Linked DNA regions of Caenorhabditis elegans. The protein of the gene in region 3 interacts with the protein of the main gene of each other region in a pairwise test. Each region holds a gene or a part of one and is shown on either strand. Other genes may lie near its edges.

Region 1 (5,275 bases), 2.1 Mb from region 3:
ACAGAGAAAGATTACCAGTATCTATTCGAAGTTCAGCTTGGATTCTACGTCAAGATTTCCCCTTTGGAATTTCTTACCAAGTTTTGCCAATTTGCCAATTTCTCACCCAAGTTAGCTCACGGCTTACCAAACTTCCTTCATTCTCTAATGCAAATCATCTCACCACACTTTGAACCAACTTTTAGCAAATTTTCAATGAACTTCAACCCAAGAGCTTGGCCAAGTTTAATAAATTTTAATTATTGATCGATATGGAGAACTTTTTTAAAATTCTCGCCCACAACTTGCCAAAGTTTGGTTGAAGTCTGGCTATTTTTGAATTTCTATATGTATCAGGCATACATTAAGTGAAGGTCTTCCGTGATGGGCAGGCGCGGCGTGAGAGCCTACCTGGAACCTACCTGCCTCACGTCACCCAAAGGCATTAAAGGCGCGAGGCAGGTGAAGGTCTCCTTAAGGTCAGCTAGGCATCTTGGCGCCTACATGAAATACCCTGCATTATAGTCAAGATGAGTTTGACTTCATTGAATCAAATTCACGTAGAGGATTGAGTTATTCGGAATAGTTTCTAGACATTTTACTTCATTCGTCTCCTTCGCCACATTATTTGCTCCTTTTTCTGTTTCATCCTTGAATTCTGCATTGAAAATCGTGTGATACCATGCTGGATAGCAATGAATCTCCGCACGAGGATAGACACTTCGAACCGAGAAATAGTCAGGGCACGCCGGATTCAAAATAATAGCATCAAAAAGTGAAGTCATCGGTTGTGATGGGGAGAAGCTCAGAATTAATCGAGAACCATTGGGGTATCGTACTAGAAGACGGAGGGGTCCTTGTGATACAGTTCCTGGAATAGGCCAGCTTGCATTATTTGCAACTATGGGTTCTAAATTACCTTTCAACTTCTCTCTGTAATCCTGAATGGTTTTCTTCCTCAGCTCCTTCTGTTCAGCTTCAAATCTAATTTTATCCTTTTCTTCTTTCTTTGCAATATCCTTGGCAAGACTCTCCGCATATTCTTTGTTCTGAAATTCTAACTTATCACTGTCATAATCCGAATCTAACCTGTTGGCTCAACAGAGCACGATCCTCCGCAAACTTCTCCTTTTGTACGTGATTGTTAGTTGGCATCGTCTAGTGGTAGTTAGTGAAAATGTGGTAATGATTTTTTTGTTGAAAATTTGCTATCAGAATTTGACGTTGCAAAGTCTAAATTTTATTTATTTTTGAATTCACACGTTTTCTTTTCAGGATTTTTTAAAACTAATATATTTTTAAGAGTACTTTCTAACAGTTCAAAAAATTCAAATACTTTCCAATTTCCAATTTCTAATAACAATTCAAAAACTATAATTTTCAGGCTTCACTCATACACATGTATTCTGGGAGAAGGCGGCTTCTGTACATTAGACAAGTTTTGGTTCCCGGATGATAAAGAAGGATGCACGTATCTTCGTCCGTGGTCGCATAAAGTGGCAGAGTGAGTGAAAGTGTGTGTGCGTTGGAAAATAATTATGTCAGTAGTATGTAATTATCAACTTTTGATAGATATTTAAGAATTGAACTTTTACCAAAAAAATGGTTAATCTTTATTCCGAAATTTGTGATTTCCAATGGGATCCGTTTCGTAAAAATCTAGAAATTCTCATTTTGGAGCGAATTCCAAAAAAAAAAAGAAATAAACCAAAATTGGAAAATATAGTTTTTAAAAGGAGAATTCTTCTTCTTTTTCTATCGATGTTTTTTGTGGGTTTTCTGAGTTTCACACCAATTAAAAAAAATTTTAAAGCTTAATCTCCATTATGGCTACACCACCTTTAAAAATAGGGGTTTTCTGCAAAAAATTTCAATGGAATGGGGAAAGTTTTTTTCAAAAACATTTATAAATACACATTACCAAATTTAATAATTATTTAAATTTTCCAGCTGGTCCTTCTACTTTGTCCTCGAGAAGCGCCCCAGAAAGTACGGAAAAGCCTTTCACGAGCGTCAGAAGAAGCTGAAACGTCAGGCTTCAACCCCAAAACGTGAAATGAGCACAAAACCAATTGGACATCTCACTCTCTACGGAGTCGTTGATTGTGATAAAGTATGTGCTGGAAAAGAAGAAAAAAGTCTTGGATCGTATGCTGATGGAACATTCCATAAGGGAAGAGCACATCGCTTGAATTAAATTTGAAAATTTTGGGTGAGAATCTGATTTTTTATTTCTCTTTCTCTGTAACAAATTTTCTCTGTTTAATTCAAAAAAAGATACACTGTCAAAAAGTGTAAAACCCAAATCGATCTTCCACTGCTTCTGTTTGAACATAATTGTCTTTACATTTTCCTTTTATAGTTCCAGTTAACCTTGTCTAGAATCTCTCTCACTCTCGAAAATCTCCTAATCCTTTCTAGTTTTTGAATTTAGTATCTGATGCATGTACGCTCTACTATTGACACATCAATAGAGCGCACTTGCATTTTTTCCATTTTCATAATGCATTTTGGTCTTTTTCCGGTACAATTGATTGTCCTTCAAGGTAGGCATCGTTTCCCATTATTTCCTTCCTAAATTCCCCGGTTTCACACATTGTCTTTTGTATTTTATTTTAATTCTTTTACGAATTATTATACGTTCGTAATTTTTTCTGGAACGTATAATAATAACTATTTTTGAAATAAATCCTTGCCTTTTCATGTCTTTATTGCTCAGTTTTCTTGAAAAAAGAGGAAAATCTTGCTCTCCGTCTCTCCCGTGTTGTTTTTTTGTGCATAAAAAGATTTTTACATGCAAAACTGGATAAAATGAGTTAGTGTGAATAGGGGAAACGCGGCTCTCGGAGCAATTATTTAGTTCTCGAAATGCACTTTTTGTGTACCAAAACATCTTGTTGGTAAAAATATTAAGTAGGGGGTTATTATAGGGACGCAAAAAAATGCGATTTTTGAAGTCGAAATGCAAATGTGCTCCACTGAGAAATTAATTATTTATCGTTGTTTTTATGTCGAAATTATATAAATTCATAAAATTCGACATAAAATCATTAAAAACAACAAAAACATTTAAAATTCGAATTTCCGGATTCTATTCCTAACGAGACCCAACGTCTAGGGGCGGAGAGTGCCATAGAGCGCCCTTGCGCCTCGATTTCAAAAGATCCATAATAACTTTATTGCCAAGAATTTCAAATTTTCGACGAAATTCTCTAGATTTCCGGCTCCGCATGGCACACTTTAACTATGAAAATCTTTCCGGTAAACATGAAACTTTTGTGATTTTAACCATATTATCTCGAAACTAAACAATGGAGAAATATTTGAGTACTTGTCAAAATGCTCATATTGCTGCTCTCCGCCTAACCCTTTGTCTCCGGAGAGCACACGGGGGACATAGACATTGAGCTCTCTTCTTCAAACGTTCCAAACGTTCCATGCATAACTCCTTAGAGTATATACGCAAATGAGCCACGCAGCACGAGCCGAGAAAGAGAGAAGACTGTTTTGTGTATTTGCCAAAAGACAAATAACACGATGCTCCAGGTGAGCTCCACCATTGTTTTTCTTGCGGGCGAGCGCTAAACTGTGCACCAAACGGGGTTAAACAGGAAGAAGCATGGAAAGGGGCCAAAACATTTCATAATTATGCAAATCTATAAAATATGAAGTTAAATGATATCGATTCAGAAGAGATCATATCAAATGGCAATGATATTTGGTATATACACAAAGGAAATGTTCAGAAATTGAGAAGATATTCAGTTTTCTTGATCCGGAGCCGATGCTGGAAGACAGAACAGAATTGAGCTATCACCATTGCCAATTGCCAGAGTTCTCGATGATGGGCTGAAAAAATAAAATTTTTAGTCAATTTCAAAAAAAAAATCTGGCATAATTTCAATTTTTCAGAAATACCGGTTTTTTTTGCATATTTGAAAAACCGAAAAATACAAATAAAAATTGAAGAATTCAAAAAATTTCAAAGTTTTAGAAAATTTGGAAAGCCGTAAAATTATATTTTGTTGGAAATTCCAAAAGCAAAAAATTTTCTGAAAATTTGGAATGCCGAAAAATAAAGAATTTTCCAATTTTCTAAAAATTCGAAAATCCAAATTTTTTAAAAATATTCCAAAATATCTGGCAATTTTAAGAGCTTAAACCTACAAAATTTTGAAGAATTGGAAAATTTAAAATTTTCTGAAAAATATGAAAATTTTACAAATTATCATTTTTAGAAGTTTTTTTTAAATTTTTTCAATTAATTTTGTGTGCTAACAACTAAACTTACGAATAATCAAATTTGGCTGGCTCCGCGGCCAATTCATGTGAAGCACACCACTGCTGACTACGTGTTCCTGGGCTGTAGATCTGGAAATTTAATCGGGTTGAAATTCTAATTAATGCATATTTTCACTGTTTTTCGTTCGTTCAAAATTTTAGATATGTGGTTTTTTTTCTTCCGAGTCCAAGAATGTGCTAAAAAAGCAACCAAAAACCAAAAAAATGCCTTGTGACAAATCGAATTCCGAATATATACATCCATCTTTGCTTTTTTTTTCATTTTTTGTGCTCGAAAAAGAGAGACAAACGGAAAGAGTGGAACACTGAATTTTTGCATATTTTGCAAAAAAAAAACGAATTCTCAGGAAAATAGGGGGACCTATGAAATTTCTTAAAATGGTTTCTACTCACACTGAATGTGTAATTACGCTTCAAACTTCGCGCCATAATCAAGTGTGCTCCGTGCTCCAAAAATGATTGACGGGTATAGGAACCGACCTAGAAATTATTTATATTAACTGAATAATATTCTATATTCCCTACCGAATATGTCTGCAAAACGTTGAAATTATTTGCATCATACAACTTGACTTTTCCATCGGATGTTGATGTTAGAAGTTGATTACATTGAAGCGATAGACATGATTTATATGCTGTTGGAGAATATTCCTGTAATTCAATTTCATATTATTTTTTTTAAAATTTGATTCAAAAAACTTTTTAAATGCTTTTTTAAATCACCCAGCATCTAAATGTAGCAATTTTTTACTCAAAAATACGGTAACCGGTCTCGGCACATAATATTTTGTTAAATTAGAAAAGGTGTGCGCCTTTAAAGAGTACTGTAGTTTCAACTTTTTTCTGTGGAATTTTCATAGATTTTCTCACAATTTGTTAAAATTTAAATGTGCGTTTTAATTTTTAATTTTAGTTTTTTTTTGAATTAATGAGTATGTTTTAACGAAAAATACAAAAAATCGATGGAAAATTTCTTGATTCTTAATTCTTTCAA
Region 2 (6,070 bases), on a different chromosome or scaffold from region 3:
CAGCCTGTTCAAGGACTGCACAAGGGTCCCATTCAAGGCCCAATTTCCAAAGAAACTTGAGGATAAATATGGGTAAGTAAATAATTATATACTTTTATTTTACTATTTACATATTTCAGAGTCAAATTCACCAAAATTGAGCACAGCAACATGCCGTTCAATGACGCGTCGAGATGGTGCTACTTCAATTTGGAAGTGTCAGAGGAAGATTTGGCGAAACTCCCGATATTGGATGACTGGGTGAATAGCTTCAAGGTCGGGAGCATCAACAAGAAAGCGGATCACTTTTTTCACCGAAATCCTTCCAGAAGAGTTGATTTTGATCATAGTTATGGCTACTCATTTGGATAATAAAAGCAAGGAGCCGTCAATGCAAGCAATCGATCTTATCTACGATGAAGATCACATGTTCGCAGCACTCCACGACGACGCTGCCGTTTCCAAAGTTGGAGAAGTAAGTTTTCTCGTTATTGAAAGTTGGATTATTTTGCTTTTTCAGGTATGCTCAAGAAATGCGAAAGCATTCATGCTTCGTAAGTGGAAGGAGCTCAAACCTCCTGGAGTGAGAACTCCGACAAAGAACTGATCCACCTCTTCAATCTTCAACATCCAGCCATTGTAGGCAATTATGGTATTTTATGTTTGTATCCCAACTCGTATAATTTGTTTCTCCGTTCTCTCGATTTGCTTCAGCTATCCTACTTTCTTTTTTTTTGTATTTTATTCGATTCTTTCGCCGTATCAATAAATTAGTATTTATTTTAATGATTTTTTGGTGTTGTAGATGTAATTTTTGTATTGAGACTTGACTTTTTCCTGCAGAATCTTGACTATTTTCGAGTGATCTTTTGTGAAGCTATCGACTATTTGGACCTTTTTCTGCAAAAAATAGAGTTGGCTTTCAAAACAGCATTTTCTCCAGGTTTTTTCATTCATAGAAGTTTGGATAAGAAACCACTCCACCCATCACTGACATCGCTGAAGGTTCATCAGCTTCATGGCCGAGCTCCTTGAATATTGAATTTTTCGATTCAACAAAAAAATTTCAATTGAAAAAGTCCATTTGTGTGTTTTCGGAAGCACAGACGCTAGCCAGAATTTATGATCTAAACAAGTTCTGCAATTTTTTAAACCTTACAAGGCATTTTTGTAACAAGTGAATAGTTCTATAATATTAGTTATTTCATTTTTTTCTCCGGAGATCTCCTTCAATTTCATCTCTGAATCACACTTATCAAAGAATAATATATTCAAATAAATTTATCCTGTACAAAAAAGTGGCGATGAACTTTTACAAGGTTATGTGAAGTGAAAGATGTTATTCATAGCACAATTGGCCAGATTCGAGACATTAACGGGCTCCTCTCAGTGTTCGATTGCCTCCACGGAAGACATTTGACGGTTGTCCTGCCTTGCTGGCTTCTTTCTCTCGGAGCTCTTTTTCGAGAACATCAACACGTTTATAATCATAACGAAGGAATGAAACACGACCTGAAAATCATAAAATTTAACTTTTCAATTATTTTGAAATGTTTATTTCAGATGAAACAAGTATTACCTGGTTTGTAGTCTTCATTGACAACCACTGGTGGAATAGCTGGCAAATCATTCGCCACTGGAGCTGCATTACTCGTACTAACACCGGTTCCATCTGAGAGTGATACTGAAGATGATGGCTTCTTCTTTCCATCGAGACGACGCCCAGCTCCTCCGAATACAGAAGTTGCATTTTGTCCTGTCCCTCCACTACCACCAGCTTTTTGTCCAGCTCCAATAAATGCGGATGCATCTGGCGCAGGCGGCTTGGCAGTGACAGCAGGAGTCACCTGTCTCGGTTGTTCAACGTAGCCTTCTGGAGGATCGAAATCGAGATTAACATCACATTCAATGATGCACACAGAGTTGGCCGGTTTCAAATCAACGACGAGGAATTCGAGAGTTTGTCCAGCATATGATGTTGGGATCCGATCGTTTTTGGTGAGGCATGCATATTTTCGAAGTTCCACTTCAAGAACAGCTCTGAAAAATAGAAAAATATAGGACTTTGTTCAAAAACTTCAAAAAATTATTAGAGTTTATGAAAACTCACTTTGGATTAGTAATATTCAGAAACTCGAGTGACATCGGCTTCAATTTAGCAAACGTGGCTTTCGGAAGAGTTGCAGACTCAATGCGAATGGTATCTCCATCGTCAAGTCCCAATTGCTGCATCATCCAAAGTGGCAGAATGGCTTGTCCTTCTGGAGCAGAAAATTCAAGAACACCGCAATGAGTTACACGTTGAACAGCCATATTGGTTAGCTGTAAATTTTAATGGTTTTCTAGTTACTTCAAGCTATACAAAACAAACCTTGAAAAGCATTGGCATCGGAATATTATATTGCATGAGCAAGTTGAGAGCAGATGACGGCAGAAGAATCTTTCCACCATAATTGATTTCGCTTATTTTTGACTGTGTTGCATTGGGAAGGAATACGGGCCCATATACCTGAAATTTAATTGTTTATTAACGCTGAAATATAATCTTTGAAATCCAATTTATTATTTACAATGAGATCGAAATGACGAGTAGTTCGGCGAAGTTGTTGTTGAAAAAAGTTTGCAAACATCTTTCGAAATGAATTTTAAAAGCTCACCACAAAAGTTTGATCATAATTCCCGACTCGGCCGCCCATCTGCATCCCGTGAAGTCCTTGTTGTATCCACGCTTGCATTTTTATTTTTGGTTTTCTGAAAAGTTATTAACGTTTTCTTCAACTATAATTCAAAAAATACAAAGAGGATGAGCCAACCAAGAAAAGAGAGCTCATTGATCATTTAAATATTTAACAAACTGCAATTTATTATAGAAAGAAATTACTAAAATGCACGTGTGAAGGAAACTTGACAAAAATTGAAGAAAAACACAATGAACAACATGAAAAAGAGAATGCGTGAATGGATGATGATATTAAAACCGATTCCTGCAACGACAAACGCGCTCCGTTGAACAAAAAAGAAATGGAACAACGAGAAAACCGAATGTCGTGTACAGATTTTTGTGTGGAAACGCGCAAAGATGTAGAGGGAAGAATTTAACCGTCACAAACAACGCGAAAAAACACTAGAAAGAACAGGGTATAAATGAATTATCGAGCTGAATGCCAGAAATCATGAAGAGAAGTCAATAAAATGAAGAACGGAAAAAAAGGACGACAAAAAATGAAATAGCATATAAAATTTCAACAACAAATGGAAACAAAATGTATAGAAGGATGGATATGATGATGGGAAAGAAAGAACATTATGAATAATTATAATTATAATAATAAAGTTAGTGAAAAGGAACAAGAAAGTAGGAATTCATCAGATGAAATGGAAGGAAAACAGAAACTTTGATAAATTATGAAGAAAATTGATCATTTTTGTGATAACAGATGATCACATATCGAATGGCTCGTCCATGTCTTGTTCGAGCCCGGTTCCGTAATATCGATCACCAAAATTGCCCATTCCGGGAATCAGATAGCAATTTTCCGTCATTTGGTGGTCCATTGCGGTGGTGATTAATTTAACCTGAAAATTAATAATTTTTAATTCAAATAAAAAATTGTAAACCTTCGGGAAGGCATAAGCCAGTGCATGTGCACCTTGTTGACCCATAAGCAGAGATGCAACAAATATGTCTTCCTCTTTAACATCATGATCAAGAAGTACACGAATTGCCATCATCGCAGCACTCCCAGTAGTTACGGTGGCGTCCATAATGATAACTTTGTATCGAGTTATGTGTGGTGGCAAACGTATATAATGAAGTTCTGGATCAAACGTCGTCTCGTTGGTTTGAATCAAAATTTTTCCGATCACGCAGTCCTTGACGATTGAGCGAAGAGCAGTCTCCATACATTCGCCGGCTCGCATGATTGGAAGACCACAAATCTGAGCGTCCTTTCGTTTGCCAATAGTTCTGAAATAAAAATTAAAGTTTCTAGATGGTTGAGCCTATTTTAGACGTTTTCAATTGTTTAGTTTTCAAGTTTTATTTAGAAAAAGTTTATTCTTATATTGGAAACAATAGAACATTAATATCCGAATATCCGAAACCAAGATCTGAAACTTTGCAATTCTTAAGCCGAAAATACGGTAGCCGGTCTCGATTCGACAGATTTTTTGCTGAAAGAGCGCCTTTAAAGATTACTGTAATTTTAAATTACTGCAGAATTTTTATTGATTCTTTGTAGTTTTTCTATAAAAATTATTTCTGTATTAAAAAACTTGATTGAAACCATAAACAAAACTTAAAATAAAACAAAAAATCCGCAGTGATAAGAAATTGAAACTACAGTACTATTTCAAGGCGCACACTTTTGTTTAACAAACATTTGTCGTGTCGAGACCGGGTACCGTATTTTTGCAGTCAGATTCAGAAATTTCAGAAAGGTTGGCGCTGATTTCAGATTTCAAAAAGGAATTTTCAAATCTTGCAGTGACCATTTTTCAGTTTCAAATTTACTCACTTTCTACCGCCGGCCATCTCAATCTCAACATCTTTGTAAGGCATATGATTCATGCATTCTTCAATAAGAATACGCATTAATCGATCAGAATAGAAAATATGATTGTCTCTACTCGTTTCTCGATCACGAACAAACGTGACAAGACCTTTGACCTGTGGAGTTTCTTTTAAAATGAACAGGTTTTCCGGCAAACAATCCGGTAGATCGTCGCGAACCAAATCGTGACGATCACGGTTGTTCTGATTGCGATCGTATCCGCGTTCAACGAGCTGTGCCATCACGTTCTGCACGATCATGTCGATGGCGACGTCGTTCTCTCCACCGCGCGGAACGATGAGATCAGCCGAATCCATGCATGGTGCAATGTATTTGTCGAACGCCGGCTGCAACTCGAAAGTTACTTGAGACGACGAGTTACAACAATTCTCTTACTTTTACAAATGTAAAGTACTGCTCCATGATGCCGTCGATGTCACGCCCACGATCAGTGACATCCCGAACGATACGACGAGCTAGACGAAGATCTCCATCCGTGTCGACGAACACTTTCATGTCCATTAAATTCTTGATACGCTCATCATGGAACGCGAGGATTCCTTCGAAAATCAAAACGTCAGCTCCATACATCATCTGAAAAGCAAAATAAAATAATTCCATCTGCAGTTTTTTTCCGAAATTGCTAGTAATTTCACAAGATTCCCATTTTTTCGGAACAAAAAAAAAGGATATTTGTAACAATTTTTACATAAAATTTGAAGAATTCGGCAAACTCGCTAAAAATGAAGTAAGTTAATTGAAAAATGAAAGGAAATCGAACGAGGAAGTGCTGAGACCCATCTGAATGAAAAACAGAATCCTGTGAAATTACGAAATAATAATTATAATTATAGCAAACCTTCGAATTCGGATCTCTTGAATGAGTATTAAAATCATAAACCGGAACATCAACACTCTTTCCCTCACGAAGTCGTTTCAAAACTTCGTAGAGCAAATCAAAGTCAAAAGCATTTGGCCCATCAAAATTATATCTTGATTCATGTGCTGCTTTGATTTCTTCCGGCGTCAGAACTTTATAAAAGCTGTCCATTGAAAGAATCGTGACCCATGGTATTCCGAGTCGTTCGACGATTTTCTCGGCGACAGTAGTTTTCCCACTGGCAGATCCTCCACAAACTCCAATTACGAACGGATGTTTCAGTGACTTTCCCTTCTTGTCATACCATGGTGGACGTCCTTTCGTATATATTTTCTAAAAAATCGAAAATTCGTTTTATTTTTAAGTGGAATTAGAAACCTTACCTTGCCGGTCTTAGTGGTAAGAAGATGATGTTCAGCACGTCCTCCACTCATCGTTCGTCTTCTCGTACGACATCCAGCGGCTCTTGGTGAAGTCGAATCCTCAGAATCTCCACCACTTTGGTTGACCATCTCGTTGACAGACGAACCTGTGCGTTAATAAAACGATTAGGAACGGTAGAAACTAGAAATTGTGTCTAGTAGTTGTTGCGCCCCTCTTTTTCTCACTCTCTCCACCCGATTTAGTCTCGATAGTTTACAAGATAAGCATCTTGAAA
Region 3 (7,417 bases):
ATTGAGTATTTTTAGAACTTTATAGCTATATTTCACAATGCCCGACAAAATTCCTGAAATCAAGGTGAGTTCTGAAGGACTTTTCTGAAAAAAAATACAATTTTAGATTGTTCCACTGGGTGCGGGACAAGATGTTGGACGGTCGTGTATTCTTATTACTATCGGTGGAAAGAATATTATGGTAGATTGTGGAATGCATATGGGATACCAAGATGATCGAAGATTTCCTGACTTTTCGTAAGTTCTGCAAGCTTATTCAATTCAAATCTAAAATAATAACTTTTTCAGGTATATTGGTGGAGGTGGAAGACTAACTGATTACCTAGATTGTGTCATCATTTCACATTTTCATTTGGATCACTGTGGAAGTTTGCCTCATATGAGCGAAATTGTGGGATACGACGGACCAATTTACATGACTTACCCTACAAAAGCCATTTGCCCAGTTTTATTGGAAGATTACCGAAAAGTTCAATGTGACATCAAAGGCGAGACAAACTTTTTCACCTCAGATGACATCAAGAATTGTATGAAAAAGGTTGTCGGATGTGCACTTCATGAAATTATTCACGTTGACAACGAACTTTCTATTCGTGCATTTTATGCTGGACATGTTCTTGGAGCTGCAATGTTTGAAATTCGACTTGGAGATCATTCTGTTCTATACACTGGTGATTACAACATGACTCCAGATAGGCATCTTGGAGCGGCGAGAGTTCTTCCTGGTGTTAGACCAACTGTCCTTATTTCTGAGTCAACATATGCGACCACAATCCGTGATTCGAAAAGGGCAAGAGAAAGAGATTTCCTTCGAAAAGTTCATGAATGTGTGATGAAAGGAGGAAAAGTAATTATTCCAGTCTTTGCCTTGGGACGAGCGCAGGAGCTGTGTATCCTGCTTGAATCATATTGGGAGAGAATGGCTCTCAACGTACCAATCTATTTTTCCCAAGGTCTTGCAGAACGGGCAAATCAGTATTACCGACTTTTCATCAGCTGGACCAACGAGAACATTAAGAAAACTTTCGTAGAAAGAAATATGTTCGAATTCAAGCATATCAAACCAATGGAAAAGGGATGTGAAGATCAACCAGGACCTCAGGTTCTCTTTTCTACTCCTGGAATGCTTCACGGAGGTCAATCGCTCAAAGTTTTCAAAAAATGGTGCTCAGATCCTCTGAACATGATCATTATGCCTGGTTACTGTGTCGCTGGAACAGTTGGAGCAAGAGTTATTAATGGCGAAAAGAAAATTGAAATTGATCAAAAGATGCACGAAATTCGACTTGGTGTGGAATACATGTCGTTTAGTGCTCATGCTGATGCTAAAGGAATTATGCAGCTTATCCGTCAATGTGAGCCTCAACACGTCATGTTTGTGCACGGCGAAGCTTCAAAGATGGAGTTCTTGAAAGGAAAAGTGGAAAAGGAGTACAAAGTACCTGTTCACATGCCAGCAAACGGAGAGACTGTAGTGATTTCTGCTCAACCGAAGCTTGATATACGAGTTCCACTTGAGGTTTGTGTGTTTCTAAAACAAATTGAACTCAAATAAAAAATTCCAGAAAATTGACAGAAGCCTAAGCCTCGATCCGAATCCTGCCAAATCGGAATGCCCATTTGTCGCCGAGCTCGTTTACGATCAAGAAGTAAGATTATTGAACTTTATTTTGCAATAACTTCAAATAATTTTAGAATGAACGACTGAATATCATGTCTACAGCAGAATCAGAAGATTTGATAAAAGATAAAAACTGCATGCCGATCACTCTCTCATTGTCAGAAATCATCAAAGGCAAAAAAGTGAATTGGAAGGAATTATCAAACGAGCTTCTACTCTATGATCCACACTTGCAACTAAAAGACGACGGCATTGAAATGTTTGATGGAGAAATCACTATTTTAGCAAACAATTCTGATGAAACAGAGCTTGAACTGATCTGGGACGAATGCCGTGAACAGTGGTTCAAGGTTATCCATAAAGCCATCACTGATCTCATTTCACCCGAATCCTCCCCGGTCCCTCCTGCTATCTCTGTTAAAGCATAAGATTTTAACAAATACTTTTTACGGTTACGATTTTTTTACTTGTAAAAGTTGGAAATAAATTTAACATTCATGAGAACATTTGATACCCTCGCAAGGATGCATTTACAATAAATAGAATAAAACAATTTTAGCGAAATCTAGTTGTACAGGTCATCATCGTCATTTCCACCGGAGCCACCGTTTCCTCCAACAGGTTGTCCAGCAGAAGGAGCTTCTCCTGGGAACTTGAAGTTGTTTCCAAATCCACGAGATTGTTGAAGAGTCTGGGCGAACATCTCGTATTTTCTGATATCGTTATCAGTCACGGAACGTCTAGCGAACTTCATTGCCTCCTCGAAGTGTGCTCTAGTTATTTCTGGAACTGGGTCAGCCAGTTCATCCTCCATAAGTTCTTCTCCACGAGCACTTCTGTCCTGACGCTCCTTTTCCTGACGAATTTCCCGTTCAATTGATTCACGAATGGCAAGCTTGCATGCTCTGAAAATGGTATTAATTGACAAATGCGAATATTTTTTTAACTAATTTTTATAACAAACCTTTGGCAAATTTCGGTTAAGTCGGCTCCCGAAAAACCGACGGTGTTCTTGGCAAGGAAGTTCAAATCGAGATCGGCGGAAAGGGGCGTTTTGCGGAGTGAGGCCTTGAAAATTTGAAGTCTAGATGCTTCGTCAGGAAGAGGAATGTAGATCAACTGATCGAGACGTCCTGGACGAAGAACAGCTGGATCAATGATATCAGGACGATTGGTAGCTCCAATAATGAACACGTTTTTCTTGGCATTCATACCATCCATTTCAGTGAGAACCTGGTTGATAACACGATCGGCAGCACCTCCAGCATCTCCTACACTTCCTCCTCTGGCCTTTGCGATCGAATCGAGTTCGTCAAAGAAGAGAACGCATGGAGCGGCAGCACGAGCTTTATCAAACACGTCGCGAACATTAGCTTCGGATTCTCCGAACCACATAGTAAGAAGCTCGGGTCCCTTGATGGAAATGAAGTTAGCCTGGCATTCATTGGCAATCGCTTTAGCGAGAAGTGTTTTACCGCATCCTGGTGGACCGTAGAACAAAACTCCACGAGATGGTTGCATTCCGAACTTGAGATACTTTTCTGGATGCTCTACAGGGTATTGAACGAGCTCCTGAAGTTCGCGCTTGACGTTTTGAAGACCTCCGATGTCGGACCAAGTAGTATTTGGAGTTTCCACAACGGCTTCGCGAAGAGCAGATGGGGATGATTTTCCCATTGCGAACTGAAAAATGATTAATGATACGTCTCTTAAGTGCAAAAAAATGATAACTTACTCTAAAGTTCTCCATAGTGACCGCCAAAGAATTGAGAACTTCAGCATCAATTGTATCATCCTCCAAATCAATCAGCTCCATCTTTTCGCGAATTTGCTGAATAGCAGCCTCAGAGCAGAGGGAAGCCAAATCAGCTCCGACAAATCCGTGGCATTCGTTTGCAACTTGTTCCAAATCAACGTCTTCTCCTAATTTCATGTTCTTGGTATGAATTCTGAGAATTTCCAGACGGCCAACAGCATCAGGGATTCCAATGTCAATTTCACGATCAAAGCGACCGAAACGACGAAGGGCTCCATCAATAGAGTTAGGACGATTAGTAGCGGCGATCACGACAACATGAGCGCGAGTTTTAAGTCCATCCATAAGTGTGAGAAGTTGCGAGACGATACGCTTCTCGACTTCACCGTGAGCCTTTTCTCTCTTTGGAGCAATCGCATCGATCTCGTCAATGAACAAAATAGCAGGTGAGTTCTTCTCACACTCGGCAAATGCTTTACGAAGATTCGATTCCGACTCTCCAGACATTTTAGACATAATTTCCGGTCCGTTAATGAGGAAGAAGAATGCTCCTGTTTCGTTGGCGACAGCTCTTGCGATCAGTGTCTTACCGGTTCCTGGTGGACCGAACAGAAGAATTCCACGTGGTGGTTTCACTCCGATAGCCTTGAAAAGTTGGGGATGGCGAAGTGGGAGCTCAACCATTTCCTTGATCTGAGCGAGTTGTTTACGAACACCTCCGAGATCATCGTATCCAACTTCATTGAGAGCCTCCTCTTCTTCCTCTCTTTTAATTGGATCTCCTTCATAGTGAATAACAGTATCTGGAGCAACAATACACGCCGGAGCAGGATCCGTCTCGACAACTTTGAACTCGACAGTTCTCATTGCAGCTTGAACAGTGAATATGTCTCCCTTGTGCACTGGGCGGTAGGCGTCGGTAAAGTATGGCCGAAGGAAGACATCAAATAGATTTCTAAAATAAAAAATACAGTCTTTATTTCTCCGTGGCAAGAACATACCCAGTCAATCCCTCGATTGTGTCATCAATTGGAAGAACATGAACCCTTTTTCCATATTCGAGTTGAGCACTTGAGATACTGACAACGTCTCCAAGACGGCTTCTGAGGTTGTTTCGAACCACTTTGTTCATCTTGATCTTGTCATTCGGGCAATTGTCCGCATTAAGAACGATAGAGACAGTCTCTCTTCGTTTCTTTCCTTTCAAAATCACCGAATCTCCACGGAAGAGTCCCAGCTCGTCCATTTTGGCCTGTGAGAGCATGACCATGGAGTTGTCGTCATTGTCAGACTGATCGATAATGAGTCTGTTTGGGCGTTTTTTGTCCTGAAAGAGTTAATTATATTGAAATGATTACCTTGGAGAAAAACCTACTTTCAAGATAGCCGTAGCCAGCTCATCATTCTTCTTTTCCTTCTCGTCTCTCTGAGTCGGAACTGAGGCCATGGTTAAACGACTTCTCTGTAAAATCTTGGAATAATAAAAAAGAACGGAAGATGGGGGTAGAACATAGGAAAGGCCGAAACGCGAAAGTCTAATAAGAAAGTAGAACACGGACAAACTTTTCTACAGTAGGTTTTCAAGATAAAACTTCAAGTATAATTTCTGATCTAATTCAGTTAAAGAATCGAATCAAAGAAGAGATGCAAAAAGAGCCAATAGAACAAAATTAAGAAATATGGAAGATGAGACACGTAGACTAAGTTCTCTACAGAACACCCCAATGCTGCCTCTACATGATGACAAAACGCAGCCTCTCATTCACACTCTCTCCTTGGGGCGCATTTGCTTTCGAATAATTTCACAAAGCGTTCTACCGTTTTATTCGGGTCATAAGTAATAATTACATTGTTAAAAATATATGTGAACCAGCCGTCTTTAGCGGAACAGAAGTTCAAGGCGAACCTAAGTGATGTGACGATCTAGAAAGCTAGAGGTAAATATCTCGTTCAAAAACGAAGACATAATTTGAATAACAAGGAGACGAATTCAAAGAAACGTACGATATGAGTGATATTTCAGTGGTAAATTTCCGCAGTTTCCGCAGAGTCAGTGGTAAATTTCCGCAATCGCATAAATATGGAAAAGATATTATACGGCAAAGATAAATACGATAACACACTCTGGTAATTGTTTAACAACGACTGAGATAGCGAAAACCTCCCAGCAACTGTTTAAAACATAATTATTTATAATGAGCAATGCATTGCGCAATGAGAAAACAATTTCTAGAAGAAAAAACTGTTCGTTAAACGTACGCGCTGCTTTTTTTGTTCGAAGGAGCGCGTTTGGTGTTCAGAGACTTGACCGTTTTTTGGAGTTCAGCTATTTTAGGAATCCGATATCTGGAAATAACTGAGAACGCCTGACTTTTATTACAGGAAATAATGATTTTAACAAAATGGCCAACCAGGAAACCACATAATGTATAAAAATTATCAAAAAAAAGCATCAGGTTTAAGACAACTTCATTTTTTTTCAGCGAATCTGCTTCTGGAAGAAACTTCTTGCGGATTCGTGGTGTCTCCCGCTTTACAAAAATCTAAAGTTCTACAAAACGAAACATTAAAACAGTTTTTTTGAGCTTCAATCCATGTTTTTTTTTAAGTTTTCGATAGTGTTTTATTGTTTCAGTTTCCCAAATTACAAATTAAATTAAATTTTTTTGGAATATTTAATTTTCTTTAAAATTCACAGTGTATTGTTTTCCTCATGTAAACTGGATTTTTGGTCTTTTATCAATAAAAATTATCGATGATCTGAACGATTTTCTGAATATTCCGACGCATTAAATAAAAAATGTGTATATATATGTTTTCAACATGATGTTTCCCTCGTTTGTTTACAAAAATTCCAACCTTCCCCCGTTCTCTCGGTCAATCATTCGTTTTTCACTATTTTGCTGTTTCTCTTTTTCTCGCTCAATTTATGTTATTGATTCATTTCAATGCCAAAACTGATGATATAAAGCGTCGTTTTCTCTATTCACAACTCCTGTTTTATATTTTGCTTCCATTTTTTGAAGTATAATTGTTTCCAGAATGATATAATGAGTTTCCCGGTGGCATTTTTGCTCGTTCTCTTCTTGGTTCCATTCACATTTGCGACAAATAATTTAGTTGTTAGACAGAAAGAATTGGAAATTGTAATTGGAGGAGAAGTCTCTGTTAATTTCCAGATCAAGTGAGTTATTAATAATATTTTTCATCCAACAGGTTATAAAATAAAAACAATCATACGAACATGTGCTGTATTCAATCAATATAATTTTCAGAAACCACACATCACAATCATTGAACGCAACACGTATCTCCCTCTCGCAGTCACCATACATCTCCCATCCTGATGCTATTCTCGTTGACAATTGGAATGCTAATGTGACAGTTTTAGGAAGCCAATTGGTGTCCGGAGCTATTTTAGAAGCTCTCAATTGTACTACAGATGGGTCAATTACTTGTCCTCTGGAGTGAGTCGATGATTATATATTGTAAAAATTAAATCAAAACTCATTTCCAGTCTTGAAGATGCGTTTGCTAGAATCACAGTTATTCGCTCTCACTTTCTTGCCATTTTGATTCAAATTGTTGGATGGACATACTTCTTCGCATGGAGTATTTCGTTTTATCCCCAAATGTATCTGAATTTCAAAAGAAAAAGCGTCGTCGGGCTAAACTTCGATTTCTTATCTCTGAACCTTGTCGGATTTTGTGCATATGCTATTTTCAATCTGTTAATGTATTATAATAGTCATGTAAAGGTGAGAACTAGAAAATAAATAACTAAAATTAATTCATCTTCTTTCAGAATGAATACAATATTGTGAATCCTCGGTCACCGCCACCAGTACTTTTGAACGATGTTGTGTTCGCTGTTCACGCATTTCTTGCCTGCTTTATCACAATTCTTCAATGTTTATTCTATGAACGTGATAATCAGAGTGTTTCTTCAAAATGTATCGCCCTTATGATTGTGCTGATCTCTTTTGGATTCTGCTCCGCTGCCGCCACGGTTCTCAGGAAAATTCAATTGCTCTCGTTTG
Region 4 (10,277 bases), on a different chromosome or scaffold from region 3:
TTCTGCGGGATTTTTACTTTTTTTTTTTCGAGGAACCCATCAAGTATCTTACAAGTTTTTATAGTTCAAAGAATGCTCTTGGTCTAGAGATTCTTTGAAAACAAAAATCCAAAAAAGTTCTGTCATGGTATGACTGTGGCAGTAGTTTGAATGACATAGAAGCCTTGAATGACACAGTCGCCAGAAAGATAGATGTGAGCGGCGGCAGCAGTATGCAGGAAAACTCATTTTAGTATTTTTCGGGGAACGTTTTGATCTGACTTTCAAGAATTTTAATAGAAGATTAAGCTCGGATGATTTTGTGGGTCGTTACACCTTGTGAAGACAAAAAAAACTGAGTAATTTTCGCAAAGTTGAATTCATGAAATATTCAAAGGTTTTTTCTAGGCGCCAGTGTCGATACAGAAAATTTTCAAATACTACAAAAACAATTAAAAACGCTTCTTCACTTCTTTAACTTTGAATTTAACATAAAAATCATAGATCTGAAAATTATTGGCGTGCGTGGGATGTGCGTTTGTGTGGGAAGTGCCGCGTGCCAAAACTTTTTTTTTGTTTTGCCGAAAGGGTTCGTCAAATTGCCGAGGTGATAAAGGTTACACCTTATTGGGAAACATTACAAATTTTAGGTCAAATTGAAGGAAATTTATTCAGCTATCAGTATTCTATAGAAAATTGTATGTATGAAGTGGCAGTCGCGCGAAAAGCTCATGTAAAAGAGCGCTTCACGTGTTACCATACTTTTGGCGCACCCTGTATATTGATAGATTGGAAATTGCGAAAATGTATACTATTCGGCAATTTCGTTCAGCTGGCAGCACAGATTTTATCTTTTATGATAATCAAAAAAACTCTACTGATTTTACTTCTTTGCAGGTTTTTATCTGAGTTTGATGGGTAAAATTTACTCACTATCAACTCGGAATAAAATGTAAGATTACAGTTAGAGATTCGAAAACAATAATGCTTCGTGTTTTTGTGAGATGTCTCCTGGGGGAAGTTTCTTGGAACATTTGGTGATTCGAGAATTTTGAAATTACAGTAAAATAAAAGATTATTACATCGTGGTTGATTATATACGTTCTCACGTTGTCAAATCAATCGTTATGCAACAAAATAGTTATGAATTTTGAGCCGAGACTCATTCCCCCTAAATACCATTCAATTGTATCTAACAATTTTACATTCTAAATTTCTTCCGATTTGAATAAATATGTTTAACATCTATTCCGTTTTGTTTTATGAAGATTGTAGTAGACAAGTAGTAGAAAACTCTAATTCACAATCACCTGATTTTTATAGAGGGATAGAGGACAACAGAGCAAGCGGGAAAGATGTAGGTCACAATAGGAAACAACTTCCATGGTAGGCAAGCGCGTTTTCAGGGACCTGCCCGCCAGCCTTCCTGCTCATTGTTTGCATTTTTACGTGAATTTACAAATTTATTATATAATTTTCTCATTTCTATAAATTTGATAAATATCAAATCACTAGTTAGCATAAGAAGCGGGTTGTGGCGAGAGGCAGGCGGAGGTTGGAACTTTATACAGACGTGACCTTTCGGTCATCATGAACTTATCGCGTAAGCGACCTCTCTTTATAATTCATTACTTCTTACACTCTCTTGTAATAAACTTCTTCTCTCCTTGTCACTCGCTCAATACACAACAATAATTTTTTACTTGGAAATTGTTTTAGCATCTGCAAAAAGTATTTATTTATCAGTTTTAATAAGAAAAAACGGGAAAAAGCTGTGAAAAACGAAAGAAAACAGGCGGAAAACAAAGCAAGATAAATGGCCGCTGAAACTTGTCGGCCCCTCGGCCATGGCCTAGAAACCACTTTTCCTCGTCCCTCGTAAGGAAAAAGTTGCAGTGAAGGATCCCGTGGTTTCCCGAGCAATTTGAAATTGTCAAATTAAGTTCAAAAACCAAATGATGGTTTGAAACTACAGGAATAAATCGGTATCCTGTGTCACGTAGCCTACTTGACTTGGAGTAGGATGGCTCTAAAGTTTCGGAACATTTGCGGAAACTTGGGTTGATCATGATGTGTGTAAAGGAATGAAGCTACCGTATAATACCTGCATGCAAGAATAATTTTGATTAGTCCATTTGCAGATTTTTAAAACTTGTCGTTCAAAACAACGACTCACAGCCTCCTCACGTGGAAATGACCCAACAACAGGGGGCTTGCGCGTTTCTCGTGAGCGTGGGAAAATTTTGCCGTTGAAAAGTAATTTCCTTCAGTTTTCATGGGTTTGAAATCGATTTCAAACTTTTTAATTACGTATCAATTGTAAAGCTACTTGAGGGTAAGGTGAAGGAAAAAAAAGATTTTTGATTTTTGTTCAAAAATAAAAGCGATGATATAAAAAGAAAAAAACATCTAAAAATTGAGTTTTTCTCATATTTCGTATATTTATCATCATTTTTCTAGTGGAAATTGATGTATATTTGAAAAGTAATCTTCCACCAAAGCTTATGTTATAAAAAATATGAAGAAAAACAGTAAATTGAACGTTTTCGGTAATTTCTCAATTTTCCACGCGATGCACGAGAAGTGCGCCAATGGACCGACTTTAAATTTTTTTTTCTCATAGTCAGTGGGATTTTTTTTCAATCTGATGGTTTCTTGATGCTTTTGAGTAAAATTTTGAATATTAAAAATAAAGACATTTCAAATATATTATCAAAATCCACTTTTAGACGTGATTTCTCAGAAAAATTAGAATTTTTCCTCGATTTCAGGTAAAATTTCAGTTCACAATTGTTTTTTAAGTTTTTCCCCAAAGAAACTGTTGATTTATTATCAATTCGCAGAATTTGGACGCTGCTGGAAACGTGCCCCCGACAAGAATTGCGTCAACAGCGGCTGCTGACGCACTTCCCGCACGCGCTGGCGCGTTTCTCGGCGCGTTTTATCATTATTATTTTGTTTCCTATTTCCATCGGTTTTTCGTCGTTCTTTTTTTGTTTTTCACTCATTTTTTCTCAAATTTAATATTTTTACAGTGAAAACCTTCAATTTTCCACCACAAAACCCCGGAAAAAATGAGCAGAAAGTGAGTGTCGCCCGCGATTTTCAACCTCAAAAATCGATAAATTACTTGCAGTATTCGCACGTTTCGTGACATTGGAAACAACGACGATGGGGGGCCGGACAGCGACGATTCAGGAGCCGATGCCGCCGAGAGAGGAGCCCCACAGGAATTTTACGCTGGAAGGTAGCCGCAATTCCTAGATTTTTTAATTAAAATTTTTTAAAACTTGGATTTTTCAGCGGACAAGCAGTTCAAGGACCACGTGGAGCTGCTGCTCGAGGCCCGGATAGTGAAGCCCACATTCGGAGAATCCTTCAGGCCGCCGAAGTGGTTCAGCCAGAGGGAGGAGAAGCTCCAAGAGGACGCCCGTCAGGGAGAGAAACTATTGTAAGCCGCGGTGGGCTGCTGAAATAGCTGAAAATCATTGATTTCTGCTCATTTTTTGCGCGGCGAATTTGCTTTAAAATCGATATTTTTTTGCAGAGCCTAACGCTTCACCTGTGGTCCGACGGCTTATCGATCGAAGACGGCCCGTTAATGTCTCGCCAGGACCCCAGAACTATTGAATTCTTGGAAAGCGTCGGAAAAGGGTACGGAATGACGGAAAATGGAGGATTTCTTGAAGAAAATCGAGAGAAAATTGGATTTTTTTGACGAGAAAATCAAGATTTTCGATCCAATTTTCACTGAAAATACAAAATACAAGATTTTTTCTTAACACATAAAAATCAGTTTTTTGGCAGGAAAATCATGATTTTATCGTTGAAAATGCAAAATTCTACTTAAAATTGGGACTTTTAAGCTGTTTTCATGTAGAATTTAGTCCAAAATTTGAGTTTTTCAAAGTTTTTTCATAGTAATCCTATTTTCAGCAAACTTTACCTGGAAATTGTCCAGTTTTCGCCAAAAAAAAAATCGATTTTCCCACGATTTTTATTGATTTTAACAAATAAAATATGTGAAAAATCTTCATTTTAAACTAATTTTCACTTAAAAAATGAGAAAATCTCGATTTTTTGGCCGAAAATTTAAAAATTTGATGCTAAAAATGCAATATTTCAGCTGAAAATTGCATTTTTTAAGTTATTTTTGGGCATTATTAGCTTAAAATTGATGTTTTTCACTGTTTTAAGCTGATTTTCAGCGATTTTCTCTTGAAAATTGTTCACATTTCGATTTTTTCCACTATTCTCCTCAGTTTTTAGCAGAAAAATCGACTTTTCTTCGAATTTGCTGATTTTAAAATCAAATTTCGTTTAAAAAAACTTTTATGAATTTTCACATAAAAATGATGAAAATTCTCCAATTTCTGTCGGAAGAATTCCTGAAAATGGAATTTTTATCTTTTTTTTTCAAAAAATTCAAAATTTTGCCAAAAAATCGATTTTTCTACAAATTAGTCGCTTTTAACAGCAATTTTCGTTGAAAAAAACTCAATTTTTATAACTTTTAGCATAGAAAATGTTGAAAATGGCTTAAAAATGTTCGAACTTCTTCAAGAAAAGTGCCAAAAAATTCATTTTTTTTCACATTAAAAAATTTTTTACAGAAAACCATGAAATTTCCAATTTTTCTCCAAAAATCTCCGATATTTCTCCCTGCAAATTTGAAAATTCCCCAAAAATAATTTTTGTGAAATGCCAATTTTCAGCCAAAAATTGATTTTCTAGCGATTTAGCCGTTTTAATATCAATTTTTACACATAAAAATCGGTTTTTTGGCAGGAAAATCATGATTTTATCGTTGAAAATGCAAAATTCTACTTAAAATTGGGACTTTTAAGCTGTTTTCATGTAGAATTTAGTCCAAAATTTGAGTTTTTCATATAGTTTTAATTTTATTTTCAGCAAACGCCAAAAAAATTTTGATTTTGCAACGATTTTTGGCGGCGATTTTAATATCAACATTTGTGCAAAAATGCCAATTTTAATCAATTTTCACATAAAAATTGAGAAAATCTCGGTTTTTTGCCTGAAAATTTAGCATTTTATCGCAAAAAACGCATTGTTTCAGTTGTAAATTGTTAAGAAACCGAGGAAACCTATATTTTAATCAGTTTTTTAGCAAAAAAATCGATTTTTCTACGAATTAGCTGATTTAAATGACAATTTTCGTTGGAAAAACTCAATTTTTATGAATTTTCACATAAAAATGATGAAAATTCTCCAATTTCTGTCGGAAAAATTCCAGAAAAGGCATTTTTATCCACTAAAAAAAATTCAAAATTTTCCAATATTTTCCTCAGTTTTTAGCAAAAAAATCGATTTTCCTACAAATTTGCAGATTTTAAAATCAAATTTCGTTGGAAAAACTCAATTTTGATGAATTTTCACGAAAAAATGTTGAAATTGGCTCAAAATTCTCCAATTTCTTCGAGAAAAATCCCAAAAAAAATGGAACTTTTTTTCCATTTTTTCAAAAAACTCAAATTTTTCCAATATTTTCCTCAGTTTTTAGCAAAAAAATCGATTTTTCTACAAATTAACCGATTTTAAAATCAAATTTCGTTGAAAAAAAACTCAATTGTGATGAATTTTCACGAAAAAAAAATTGAAAATTCTCCAATTTTTACCGAAAAAAGTGCCAAAAAATCCATTTTTCACTAATTTTTCTATTTTTTTTTTGTTTTTTTTCAGTGAAATCCCTCCATCACTTGTTCAACAATATCCGGGAAAAGAAATCGATTTCAAAGTGAACCGCCACCACGAGGAGTACGTTGCTCCGAAGATGAAGCCATTCGGCGGTAGTGGAGTCCGTTTGGGAAATGTTGTCCCAACAGTTTTGGGACAATCATCGTCGTCTGCCACCACTGCTGGGACATCATCTGCAACAACTGATCATAACCCGGATCATACTGCTGAAAATGAGGCAAAACAGCTGGAAGATGCTAAGAAGGAGCTGAGCACCAATATGAATGAGCCAACGACTAATGTACGGAGTTTGTACTACGGTTTTGGAGCAGCGAAAATTTTTGGAAATTTGGAGGAAAACTGCGGCTAAAATTGGCAGTTCTAAAAGAAAAATGGACGAAAAAATTCAGTAGAAATAGGCTAAAATCAACTGCAATTAGTAATTCAGTCCCCCCACAAAACTGACCTGAAAATGCAATAAATTAGAAGAAAAACGGTCGAAAATTACCTGAAAATCATAAAAATCGAAAAAAAAAATCGGTGGCCGAACTTTTCGATTTTCTAGGCCATCAGGTGAAAAGTTAGACCCCCCCACAAAACTGACCTGACCTATCACGCAGAATGTCAAAACAAAATTGGGGGACTAATTTTTCACTTGGTGGCCTAGAAATCCAAAAGTTCGGCCACCGATTTTTCATTTAATTTTTATGTTTTTCCGGTCATTATTGATAGTTTATCTTCGCATTTTCAGCCATTTTTCCACCTGAAAACTTACAAATAACGCTTCTTAAGCACCGCTTTGACACCTCCAATCTCCTTGACCATTTGGCCAAACTTTTGGATTTTATCGATTCCCAGCCACGCTTTCAGGGACATCTGTAATGTAAATTTGGTTGGAAAAATGGGATTTTTTTTCAGTAAAAAATATGAAATTTTAACGGAATGTGGGGGAAAAAAATTTGACCAAAAAACATTTTTTTCGCCATTTTTTGGCGAAAAACTCCATATTTCCTGTGAAATATGATATTTTTCGAGTTTTTCACTGAAAAATCTTGAATTGCTCGGAAAAAATCGGAAAAATCGATTTTTCAGTGGAAAATGTACGGAGTTTGTACGGTTTTGGAGCGAAAATTTGTGAAATTTGGAGGAAAACCGGCTAAAATTGGCAGTTTTAAAAAGAAAAATCAAAGAAAAAATTCAGTAGAATTAGGCTAAAATCAACTGCAAACTTTTGAAAATTAAATTTTAAATATATGTTATCAATTATACACTAGAAAAAACATCCCAGAATCAGTTTATTTCTGAAAAATTTCAAATCGGATAAAATAAGCTTCAAAAACACTCTAAAATTAAATGATTCTGATAATAAAATATTCAAAAATTCGCTTAAATTGGGAAAAAAAATCGGTGGCCGAACTTTCGGATTTCTAGACCATCAAGTGAAAAGTTAGTCCAGCCCATTTGAAAATAGCTAGACACAATTCAAAATGGCAAGAAGACGTTTGTGGAGGACTAACATCTCAGTTGGTGGCCTAGAAATTCAAAAGTTCGGCCATCGACTTTTAAAATTTTATTTTCTTCCAATTTTTCACAAAAATGTGCTGAATTACTAATTATTCGATGGGAAACCCGAAAAAAATCGGTGGCCTAACTGTTTTAAAAAGTCGGCCACCAATTTTTTTCGCGCAAATTTGACCGTTTTTTCGTCAATTTTCCAAATAAAAAATTGCTGGCCTAGAAACCCAAACCTCGGCCACCTATTTTTCACCTAAAAACCGTACCTAAACACACCATCAGGACGCTTTTCTGCTCTCCGACGCTCATTTTCTGGGAAAAAATCAGATTTTTTTCCTGAAAAAAACGTGAAAAATCAATAAAAATATCACAAAAAGGTCGTAAAATCCTTCAAAAAATCAATAAAAATTGGCAAAAAAAAATCGATAAAAATCTACAAAATTCATATGATTTTAAACACAAAAAAAACGGAGAAAAATCTACTTTTTCGAAAAAAAAAAATTTCAGGCTCTAATTATAGATTTTCAGTCGAATTGTGGCTTCTTTCCTGATATTTTGATTAATTTTAACAAAATTTTCAGATCCAAATCCGTCTGCCAAACAATCAGCGTCTCGTCGGTATTTTTAATCATTCTCACACACTTGAAGCAGTTCGTACATTCATTTGCACGTGAGTTTTCAGCCGGAAAAAGCTATTAAAAACTCTCATTTTTCACTAGAAAAAGTAGATTTTTAGAAAATTTCGAATTAAAAAAATAAAAAAATCATCTAAAAATCACATTTTTAGCCTGAAAAATTCGAAATTTTCCAATGAATAATTATTTTTTAATAATATTTTTCTGATATACACAGTGATAGAAAAATTACATTTTTCAAATTAAAAAATTACATTTTTCAAATTAAAAAATTACATTTTTCTAGTTTTTTCTTTCAAAAAACTCAAATTTTTTTAATTTAAAAATTTTGATTTTCCAGCGCCCGCCCAGATATGATCTACGCTCCATTCCAAATGATGGCTGCCTACCCTCCAAAACCATTTGAAGACGAATCACAGACTCTGAAGGATGCAAATGTGCTCAATTCGGTCGTCGCCGTGAAAATCTTGCCCACCACCAACTGAGGAGATTCCTGACGCTGCTTTTTTGGCGGGAAAATTGAAAATTGAAAATTTCATCTGAAAAAATTTCGAATTTCTACTCGTTTTTACCCCCCAAAACCTCTCAAATTCCCTGAAAATACCTGTATTTTACGCTAAATTATTTGATTTTTTCCCCCCATTTCCCAATATCGTTTTTTTTCTTTCTTCTATCACACTTTAATGCATAAAAAAAGTACACCGTTTTCTGTGAAAAATTGCGGCGATTTTTATTGATTTTTTGTTTTGGAATTTGCGAGTTTTTCAAGCTCTGAAATATTTTTTTTATTTTTTCCAGATTTTCAGAATTTTTCAATTTTTAGTGAAAAATGCACATTTTTTACAAATTTTCCATTAAAAATTCAATTTTAAAGTCAAATTTTGAATTTTTCAGATTTTTTCCCAATTTTTCAGAGAGAAAAATCCTTCTTCTGCGATTTTTTGGTGAAAAATTTAAAGTTTTCAAAAAATGTAAAAATTCACTTTTTTTGTTCCAATTTTCCACTGAAAAATCGATTTTTCCCTGATTTTTTTCAAAAAATTCAAGATTTTTCAGTGAAAAACTCGAAAAATATCATATTTCACAGGAAATATGGAGTTTTTCGCCAAAAAATTTATAAAAAATTTTTTTTTGAAAAAATTCACAAAATGCTTGGTTTTTCCTCCCCACATTCCGTTAAAATTTCCCATTTTTCCAACCAAATTTACATTACAGATGTCCCTGAAAGCGTGGCTGGGAATCGATAAAATCCAAAAGTTTGGCCAAATGGTCAAGGAGATTGGAGGTGTCAAAGCGGTGCTTAAGAAGCGTTATTTGTAAGTTTTCAGGTGGAAAAATGGCTGAAAATGCACTAAATTAGAAGAAAAACGGTCGAAAATTACCTGAAAATCATAAAAATCGAAAAAAAAATCGGTGGCCGAACTTTTCGATTTTCTAGGCCATCAGGTGAAAAGTTAGTCCCCCACACAAAACTGACCTGACCTATCACGCAGAATGTCAAAACAAAATTGGGGGACTAATTTTTCACTTGGTGGCCTAGAAATCCAAAAGTTCGGCCACCGATTTCTGACAAATTTTTAATTTTTTTTTTCGATTTACAACAATCGAATTTTATTTTTTAAAAATACATCAAAAAATTGATGGCCTAACTTTTCGATTTTCTAGGCCGTCATGTGAAAAGTTAGTCCGCGGGTTGATAATCGCTTGAAATCACCTGAAAACGAGCGAAAATCAGCGGGGACTAACTTTTCAGCTGGTGGCCTAGAAAATCGAAAAGTTCGGCCACGAATTTTTTTTTTGAATTTTTCAGTATTAAAAAATTCAAAAAATGTACGAAATTTGTCATGAAATCTGTCAGAAATCGGAGGCTGAACTTTTTTGGATTTCTAGGCCACCAAGTGATAAATTAGTCCCCCAATTTCATTTGGACATCCTGCGCGATACGTCAGGTCAATTTTGTGTGGGGGACTAACTGTTCACCTGATGGCCTAGAAAATCGAAAAGTTCGGCCACCGTTTTTTTTTTAATGAGTTTTATGCCAATTTTACACTATTTTCGCTTAATTTCATCAAAATTTCGGTTGAAAAATTGAATTTTTCGAATGACTCGCGTCGGAAAAATGACCGGAGAAACATAAAAAACCGAAAAAAAAATCGGTGGCCGAACTTTTCGATTTTCTAGACCAGCGAGTGAAAAGTTAGTCCGCGCGGGCTTATAATCGCTTAAAATCACCTGAAAACGAGCGAAAATCGATGGGGACTAACTTTTCACATGGTGGCCTAGAAAATCGAAAAGTTCGGCCACCGATTTCTTTTGTTTTTTAATGATGATTTTTAGGCCAATTTTACACCATTTTCGCTCAATTTACATAAAAATCTTCTCAAATTTTCAGAATGGACGCGACCCGCGTCGGAACACTCGTCGGTTCGGACAATTTCGGCAATCGTTACTACG

What was found.
Region 1: the proteins of cdc-48.2 (region 3) and ubxn-5 interact in a two-hybrid assay, tested with the Caenorhabditis elegans proteins (2 studies listed by BioGRID).
Region 2: the proteins of cdc-48.2 (region 3) and ufd-1 interact in a two-hybrid assay, tested with the Caenorhabditis elegans proteins (2 studies listed by BioGRID).
Region 4: the proteins of cdc-48.2 (region 3) and ubxn-2 interact in a two-hybrid assay, tested with the Caenorhabditis elegans proteins (3 studies listed by BioGRID).

The regions. Positions count from the first base shown.
Region 1 is NC_003280.10:10,233,333-10,238,607, forward strand, and holds ubxn-5 (UBX domain-containing protein 5), read right to left. Parts: upstream 1,167-5,275; 5' UTR 1,135-1,166; coding exon 1,069-1,134; intron 1,029-1,068; coding exon 899-1,028; intron 851-898; coding exon 522-850; 3' UTR 501-521; downstream 1-500. Other genes in the region: pugs-6 (BPTI/Kunitz inhibitor domain-containing protein), read left to right, coding at 1,364-1,483, 1,930-2,176; F-box/WD repeat-containing protein mec-15, read right to left, coding at 3,741-3,828, 4,271-4,350, 4,675-4,761, 4,807-4,932. UniProt on the Caenorhabditis elegans protein: Probably acts as an adapter for ATPase cdc-48.1 and/or cdc-48.2, conferring substrate specificity. Unlike other UBX domain-containing protein does not bind 'Lys-48'-polyubiquitinated chain.
Region 2 is NC_003282.8:12,328,161-12,334,230, forward strand, and holds ufd-1 (Ubiquitin fusion degradation protein 1 homolog), read right to left. Parts: upstream 2,731-6,070; 5' UTR 2,715-2,730; coding exon 2,637-2,714; intron 2,616-2,636; exon of another isoform or gene 2,610-2,615; coding exon of another isoform or gene 2,550-2,609; intron 2,489-2,549; coding exon 2,351-2,488; intron 2,302-2,350; coding exon 2,090-2,301; intron 2,020-2,089; coding exon 1,559-2,019; intron 1,492-1,558; coding exon 1,352-1,491; 3' UTR 1,248-1,351; downstream 1-1,247. Other genes in the region: F19B6.3 (FLYWCH-type domain-containing protein), read left to right, coding at 1-72, 120-351; F19B6.1 (Uridine kinase), read right to left, coding at 3,421-3,555, 3,598-3,946, 4,497-4,879, 4,929-5,126, 5,392-5,745, 5,796-5,941. UniProt on the Caenorhabditis elegans protein: Functions at a post-ubiquitination step in the ubiquitin fusion degradation (UFD) pathway. In association with npl-4.1 and/or npl-4.2 and ATPase cdc-48.1 and/or cdc-48.2, involved in the cytoplasmic elimination of misfolded proteins exported from the ER.
Region 3 is NC_003280.10:8,135,918-8,143,334, reverse strand, and holds cdc-48.2 (Transitional endoplasmic reticulum ATPase homolog 2), read right to left. Parts: upstream 4,840-7,417; 5' UTR 4,825-4,839; coding exon 4,753-4,824; intron 4,705-4,752; coding exon 4,379-4,704; intron 4,333-4,378; coding exon 3,357-4,332; intron 3,305-3,356; coding exon 2,586-3,304; intron 2,527-2,585; coding exon 2,187-2,526; 3' UTR 2,105-2,186; downstream 1-2,104. Other genes in the region: ints-11 (Integrator complex subunit 11), read left to right, coding at 38-64, 107-237, 289-1,519, 1,566-1,649, 1,696-2,049; ctns-1 (Cystinosin homolog), read left to right, coding at 6,428-6,561, 6,653-6,844, 6,895-7,135, 7,183-7,417. UniProt on the Caenorhabditis elegans protein: ATP-dependent chaperone which probably uses the energy provided by ATP hydrolysis to generate mechanical force to unfold substrate proteins, disassemble protein complexes, and disaggregate protein aggregates.
Region 4 is NC_003282.8:2,718,596-2,728,872, reverse strand, and holds ubxn-2 (UBX domain-containing protein 2), read left to right. Parts: upstream 1-3,053; coding exon 3,054-3,064; intron 3,065-3,115; coding exon 3,116-3,226; intron 3,227-3,282; coding exon 3,283-3,430; intron 3,431-3,526; coding exon 3,527-3,633; intron 3,634-5,679; coding exon 5,680-5,974; coding exon of another isoform or gene 5,975-6,043; intron 6,044-7,769; coding exon 7,770-7,858; intron 7,859-8,163; coding exon 8,164-8,308; 3' UTR 8,309-8,560; downstream 8,561-10,277. Other genes in the region: ndua-12 (putative NADH dehydrogenase [ubiquinone] 1 alpha subcomplex subunit 12), read left to right, coding at 9,039-9,139, 10,216-10,277. UniProt on the Caenorhabditis elegans protein: Ubiquitin-binding protein which acts as an adapter for ATPase cdc-48.1 and/or cdc-48.2, conferring substrate specificity.